Linked DNA regions of Saccharomyces cerevisiae S288C. The protein of the gene in region 1 purifies or fractionates together with the protein of each later gene. This does not show direct contact. Each region holds a gene or a part of one and is shown on either strand. Other genes may lie near its edges. The genes, in order: IWR1 and RPB4.

The links.
Region 2: the proteins of IWR1 (region 1) and RPB4 purify together in Saccharomyces cerevisiae (affinity purification with mass spectrometry; 5 studies listed by BioGRID). This does not show direct contact.

Annotation. Positions count from the first base shown.
Region 1 is NC_001136.10:253,476-257,220, reverse strand, and holds IWR1 (Iwr1p), read left to right. Parts: upstream 1-2,094; coding exon 2,095-2,176; intron 2,177-2,246; coding exon 2,247-3,226; downstream 3,227-3,745. Other genes in the region: ATG20 (Atg20p), read left to right, coding at 1-588; YDL114W (short-chain dehydrogenase/reductase), read right to left, coding at 691-1,617; NUP84 (Nup84p), read right to left, coding at 3,475-3,745. UniProt on the Saccharomyces cerevisiae protein: Directs RNA polymerase II nuclear import. Binds RNA polymerase II in the active center cleft between the two largest subunits in the cytoplasm.
Region 2 is NC_001142.9:148,742-152,173, forward strand, and holds RPB4 (DNA-directed RNA polymerase II subunit RPB4), read left to right. Parts: upstream 1-2,219; coding exon 2,220-2,885; downstream 2,886-3,432. Other genes in the region: serine/threonine protein kinase YAK1, read right to left, coding at 1-1,649; mannosyltransferase YUR1, read right to left, coding at 2,972-3,432. UniProt on the Saccharomyces cerevisiae protein: DNA-dependent RNA polymerase catalyzes the transcription of DNA into RNA using the four ribonucleoside triphosphates as substrates. Component of RNA polymerase II which synthesizes mRNA precursors and many functional non-coding RNAs.

The DNA.
Region 1 (3,745 bases):
TACTACAATATAAATGAGCCTTTAAATGAATCTGTTCATATGGCAACTTCTGCAAGAGAATTGATCAAATACAGAAAATTGAAATACCTGCAAAATGAAATGATTAAAAAGTCTCTGAATTCCAAAAGAGCACAGTTGGAGAAGCTGGAAGCGCAAAACAATGAATATAAGGATGTTGACAAAATAATTGACAACGAAATGTCTAAAAGTCATACTATTAATCTGGAACGCCCTAATAATAATACAGGTAGCGGTGGGAAATCATATGGTGGCAAACTATTCAATGGATTTAACAAATTGGCATCAATGGTAAAAGATTCTGTGAAGTATCAAGAAACAGATCCGCATACCGCAAGTATCAATTTGAAGAAAGAAATTGAACAACTGTCTGAATCATTGGAAGTTACTGAGAATGATTTGGAGGTCATTTCAAAAGTCATCAAAAATGACCAGCTACCTAAATTTTCTAAAGAAAGGGAAGTAGATTTATCAGAAATTTTAAAGCATTATTCCAGATATATGAGAAATTATGCCCGTCAAAATTTAGAAATTTGGAAAGAAGTCAAAAGACATCAAGATTTTGCATAGTATTATGAGCATTTTTTTTTAGCGTTATAGCATACTTGATATATATATATATAAACAACGTGAAGATCAAATAACGTCAAATGTATTAAATAGACTAAAATATTATGCACTTCTCTTCGGATTTATTGCTCGCGGGCTGGTTGACGTTACATGGTCCATTCCACTGAAATGTTTTAAGAGATGCCTATATGGCCAACTCAAAGTTTTGAAAAAGGGAACTAGGTTCACATAATATGGGGCATTTAGTGTTTGCAGATGATTATGCTCCATCGCAGAGATTATCGCTAGTGCCAGTTGGGAAGGTATGATGTCAGGAGCCAATAACTTAGATGGTGTAGGGACATCAATAAACATATTAGTTTTGATTTTTCCCGGGCACACCAGTAGTGTTTTTATTCCAGTTTTATTACATTCCGTGGACAAACTTCTGAAATGCCTGCTCATACACTTGTGAAAACCAATCATTGCTCCTTTTGATGCACCATACGATGTCAGCCTTGCAGGAGTCAGTTCTCCGAGGACTGAAGCAATGTTAATTATAAAGCCTTCCCTATTGTCTATCATATCTTCTGCAAATGTACTGATGATTCGGTAAGCACCTATTAAGTTTATGTCGATCAATTGTTCTACCTCCTTGTTTGTCATATGTTCTAACTTTTTGATGTGAGCAACACCAGCATTATTTATAATTATATTAATGTTGCCATGATCTCTTTCAATAGCTTTTTTCAAATTTTTAATTTCATCTAGACTTGTTATGTCGCATTGATAGTAGAAAATGTTATTATATTCTACCTGAGCAAAAGTAGGAAATGATTGAATATCTGCCACAATAACTTTATTAATTCTTCTGGAAAGTTCCTTTGCAAGTTCAAATCCGAGTCCACTAGAACCACCGGTTATTAGTGCAGTTGCATTTTTAGAAAGGATGGAAGGGTTGTAGCTGGGCAGACTTAGGATGACTGATGGAAAATCCTTGAGGTGTTTTGTAGTTCCACTCGCTCTATTTATTTTATTCTTGCGTACCATAATTAATAATATTTCTTACCCATAAAACTATGTTAAATATGTCACTGAATCTCTATTGAGGTGTCCTTTTGATGATGCGGTTTCAGATATGAGAAATGTTCATTCAAGAAGTGTCACAAATTCTGTTCCTCTGCTGACGCCCGCTACATATTGACGTTCAAAAATATAGAAGAAAAAGGCAGTAAAGCGTTAACATAAGAAAACTAAAGAGCAAGTCTGATTTGGCACTACCACGCTTCCAACAGAAGTAATTGTTGCTTCAAATAAGTTCGCAGCATGTGGATTCAAGTCCACAGATGCGATATTTAGGAGCCCAATCAGATAATATTGATTCCGGGTTATCTCTTGTTTGTGTCGGCACAGGGGATTTAAATTGTGTAATGCTCAAGACAAGTTATTGATGAGAACAAGAGATGGTATATAAAACTGCTCTCTGAGGTATAGCTTTTGTTGAGGTAGGCATACAAGATTTCGGGAATGAGCACTATTAGTACCACAACGGCACCTGAGTTTATCAGAGTAAAGAGAAGAAGGGATGAGGATTCTGTGCAGGCATTATGTATGTGTTGTTATTCTACCGATATAACAAAAATGCGTTTGACTAACTAAGTTCATCTGGGACAATTCAGTAATTGATGAGGGGAAAAGAGTGAAGAAGCAGAAGTTCATATTTAAATTATCAAAGACTGTGAGCTCTGAAAGCTATCAATCCGAGCAAGAGTCTTCTACGCCACTCTTAAAACTGGCTCATGAAGATCATCGACATTTTGTATTGGAACAAAGAAAAAAAAGTCGTAGAGACTCAGATGATGAAAAATCACAACAGCGGCTTGCAGCAGAAGGAAGTACTGTAGATGACGATGGGTTACCGCCAGAGATCAATCAAATGGTGAATGACTATTTAAAGTTGAATAAAGGTGTAGAAAAGACAGAAAGAAAAAAACCAAGTAGGAAATATTTTACTGGGGATTCTGCAAAAATTGCATCACTACCCAGTTTAGATTACGTTTTTGACATCTACCATTTGGAGAAAATTCATGACGATGAGGTTGCTAGATATAACAACGAGAAAAATATAGGGTTTGTGAAAATTATTGAGCATATAGATTTGGCTCTTGATGAAGAAAGTGATCCCAATGAAGCCCGTTCAGACGATGAGGATTCTAATGACGAAAACTATTACCAAAATGATTATCCGGAGGATGAAGATGATGATAGATCTATTCTATTTGGTAGCGAAGGAGAGGATATAGCTGCATTGGGTGAAGAGATTGTTATAGGGGTTAATAAGAGCAGGTTTTCCTCTTGGAATGACGATAAAATTCAGGGATCTAATGGGTACCACGATGTGGAGGAAGAGTACGGGGATCTTTTTAACAGGCTTGGAGGAAAAAGTGATGTCTTGAAATCCATAAATTCCTCGAATTTCATTGACTTGGATGGCCAAGAAGGTGAAATAGAGATAAGTGATAACGAAGATGATTCTGATGAAGGAGATGATATTGAATACCCTAGAAATGAATTTTTTCCGACGGATGTTGATGACCCATTGGCGCATCATAGGGACAGAATTTTTCATCAGCTACAGAAAAAAATTAATAGAAGCTAAATTTGCCGTCAGAAACTGTTCAATGTATGTAAGTAACTGCATCTGTAATTTTATCTTTAGATAGTAGAAAATTCATGTTTAACCGCTTTTTCACTTCATGAACTTTTTTTTCTCCGGTGTGGAAACACAAAGATTCAAAGCAAAACTATAAAAAATCACGTCAATTACTTCTGAAATAGATAGAAGAAATGCATAAAATTATTGCTGTTTACTTAAAATATAAACTTATTCTGCAATACATTAATTGATCAGTTCGAAAGGGTTGCTGTGCGAGCAACGAGATCCAGATACTCTTTTAACTTTCCACTAGATTGGAATAATAAATAAATCTTGTCGTTCTCATTAGCGACCAATGAGGTAAATGCCAGGGCTTCCGAAATAAATTTTGGGATCTTTAACAACTTTGCGGCTTCCACTAACTTTTTATGCAATTCCATCAGTAGAAATGGAGTATATAGGGCTCTAATCTCATACAGGATTTCATAATCTGCCGAATCCGCGAAATTAGAGGAAGTTAAA
Region 2 (3,432 bases), on another chromosome or scaffold:
CTGGTTGAATACGGTATACCCAGTATAATTTCAGGAGCACGATAAAACCTGGACTGGATGTATGTATAAACGGTTCTTGCCTCTTCGCAAGATGAGCCAAAATCAATAATTTTCAATTCCGGCTTATCAGGTGCGCAGAGCAAGATATTCTCTGGCTTCAGATCGCAATGAATCAGTTTGCTTTCCTTCAAAACGCATAACGAATCCAGTATTTGAGTGGTGAATGTTCTGATAAGTTGTATAGAGAGCCCATGAAATTTGTTTTGTTTTAATAATTCGTACAAATTATTGCTTAGTAATTCAAACACTAAACATAAGTGGTTCTTGTGGACAAAGGAGTCATACATCCTTAAAAAATGATGTTTATTAGTAGGGTCTATCTTTTGATTCAGTAGCTCTAAAATTTTAGCCTCCGTTATACTTTGAGTCAAATATTCTGTCCTCGATTTAACCACTTTTACAGCCAATATCTCTTTCGTCAGCAAATTTTGACATTTGACCACTTGACCAAATGTACCTTGACCCAAAATGTCTAGCACAAGGTACTTTCTGTTCTGCTCTACACCCAAAACGTCATTTACATAAAGAATATAGTCACTGTTTATGTTGTCGAATCCGTTGTTACATTTCCCTTCACTGGGCTTCGTAAGTACTCTCTTGGGGTTTTTGGACGTTTGGTAGGTAAATTCTGGAGAACATAAAGAATATGTGGTAATCAGGCTTTTCGTGACACTGACTAGGGGAGATATCGTCTTGGAATTGAGCGACGCACGTCTAAACTTTGGAGTAGCATTTAAGACAGGTTGAAGATCGTTTTTAGAGTTGCAAAGTTGCATCTGAGGAATGGACAATTTCTGACCTTGTACTTCATCTCTTCGTAACTGCTTGAAAGGGGGTTGTAGTGGGGGACTTGTACTAGGAGGATATGCGCTAAGCCTCCTGTAAGGTGACATGACTGGTATGGAGTTTGTTCCTTGATTAGTATTTGAATTTAGGGAAGAAAAATTGGACGAATAATTAGTTGCAGCCAGACTCTGCCTTCTTTGGAAATCTTGACGATCATAAAGGGAGGGAACAAATCTGGATCCAAATTGGGAAGGATGGATAGCGCCCTGCTGGTATACTTGCTGTTGTTGTTGTTGATAGCCAGAAGGATACTGGCCACTGCTATTTCCTGCCAAACTCGTATTAGAGCTGGTGTAAGCGGGATAACTATCGTACTGGAAAGGATTTGGGGCAGGTGCCCTGGCTGGAGGTACAACGAGACTAGATTTACGTCGTCTGTACGCATCTAGACTTTCGTTACTGTTTAAGTCATCGTATTGAGGGGGATACACCAGGTTTTGTTGAGAATTAGTTACTTTTTCCTCATTCCAAGGGTTAACAAAGCAAAATTGAGAATTCTGTTGTTGTTGTTGTTGCTGCTGCTGCTGCTGCTGGTGATGATTCTGATGCTGCTGCTGTGGAGACCTTTGAGAGCCTTGATTTACGTACGATGGATTCCATATACCTCTCCCCATATGGCTATTGTCTGGGCTTGCTCTACCCGAGCCCATACTAGCATCACTGTGGGTCACAAGGGTCGGGCTCAAGGAGTTATTCATGTTGCTATTGGAGCTGGACGAGTCGTTATTATTGGATGAGTTCATGATTGCTCAAATTAGCATGTGAAAAAAAGATAACGAAATTATGTTCCCTTGCACAATGGCTGTTGCTCTTCACCAAAATTCTTCTTTCGATATATTCCCAAATCTAATAGTGAGAAATTTGTGTAATACCCCCAGTAATGGCCCACCAATTGTTTCCTTATATCTGTTTAGCATTGCGACTCATTCATTGTTCAGCCCAGAAGGGGTAAATCTGAGGAGGGGGCATTGCTTGCAATGGTTCAGAAGGGGCGGTTAGGGTTAATAAAGCCATCGCGCTATTTTGATATTTTTATTAGGCCTTTTATATTTTTTTTAGTTTTTTTCTCCAAATCCTAAATCCTTTTTAGGTGTCATTTACGTGCAACGCGACAATAGTGATATTGTCATTCTTCAAACTTTTTGCAAGGTAGCTATTAAACATACCTACACACATACGTACATGCTTAACGGTGAGACAAAAGTAAAGAAAGAGACTTGAATGGGTTGCTGCATCTTAATAAGTTGAGTTTGAGGGCGAAAGTACACAAATATTCATCCGTATTGAAAATATATATATAAGAATATAGAAAAATGAATGTTTCTACATCAACCTTTCAAACAAGACGGAGAAGATTGAAGAAAGTGGAGGAAGAAGAAAATGCAGCTACTCTACAACTGGGCCAGGAATTCCAGCTGAAACAGATAAATCATCAGGGTGAAGAGGAGGAATTGATTGCCTTGAACCTAAGTGAAGCCAGGTTAGTAATCAAAGAAGCTCTTGTAGAACGTAGGAGAGCATTTAAAAGATCGCAAAAAAAACACAAGAAGAAGCATTTGAAGCACGAAAACGCCAATGATGAAACTACGGCAGTAGAGGATGAAGATGATGATCTGGATGAAGATGACGTCAACGCTGATGATGATGATTTTATGCATTCTGAAACTAGGGAGAAGGAGTTGGAGTCTATCGACGTTCTGTTAGAACAGACAACGGGAGGAAATAATAAAGATTTGAAAAATACCATGCAGTATTTAACAAATTTCTCCCGATTTAGAGACCAAGAAACCGTCGGGGCAGTTATACAGCTTCTGAAAAGCACTGGGTTACATCCTTTTGAAGTGGCGCAACTAGGTTCTTTGGCCTGTGACACAGCTGATGAAGCAAAGACTTTAATTCCAAGCTTAAACAATAAAATATCAGACGATGAGTTGGAAAGGATACTAAAGGAATTGTCAAACCTAGAAACACTCTATTAATAACTGTATGTATACGTGTGTGTAACTAGTAATGAATTTTCACCCTGTGGAAGTTAGGCCTATTTAACAGGAAAAAGGACAGGATTTTAAATCTCGTCTTGCTCTTCTTTTAAGAAATATTTGCCGCTACCGTTTTTCCACCATCTCATCAAACAACTATGTGGGGTTATATCTATGACACTTTCATCATCGCTTTTGCATCTACACCTCTGATCGAGCCTAACAGCGTAAGATGCTGGACAGGTGCCAAACGGTGAGTGAAAATAGCCAAGTTCGTCAAAATGAATGATTTCGTCAGGTCTCAGCAGTAGGGAGACACCAATTGAATGTACAGGTGCGTCACCCCACCTTTCGTAGTAAAATCCGCCCTTGGCATCTAAAGTTTCAAAAAAATGCTTATATTCGTCACTTCTGAAGAAATTCAAGTCGCCAATCTCAAAATTCGACCAAAAATGGCACAAATTGTAGTCAGAGTTTGCTTCAACAACGGGATAATGCTTACCAACTAGCCCTGAATCGGTCAAAAATGCATAGGCACTGTCCTCTT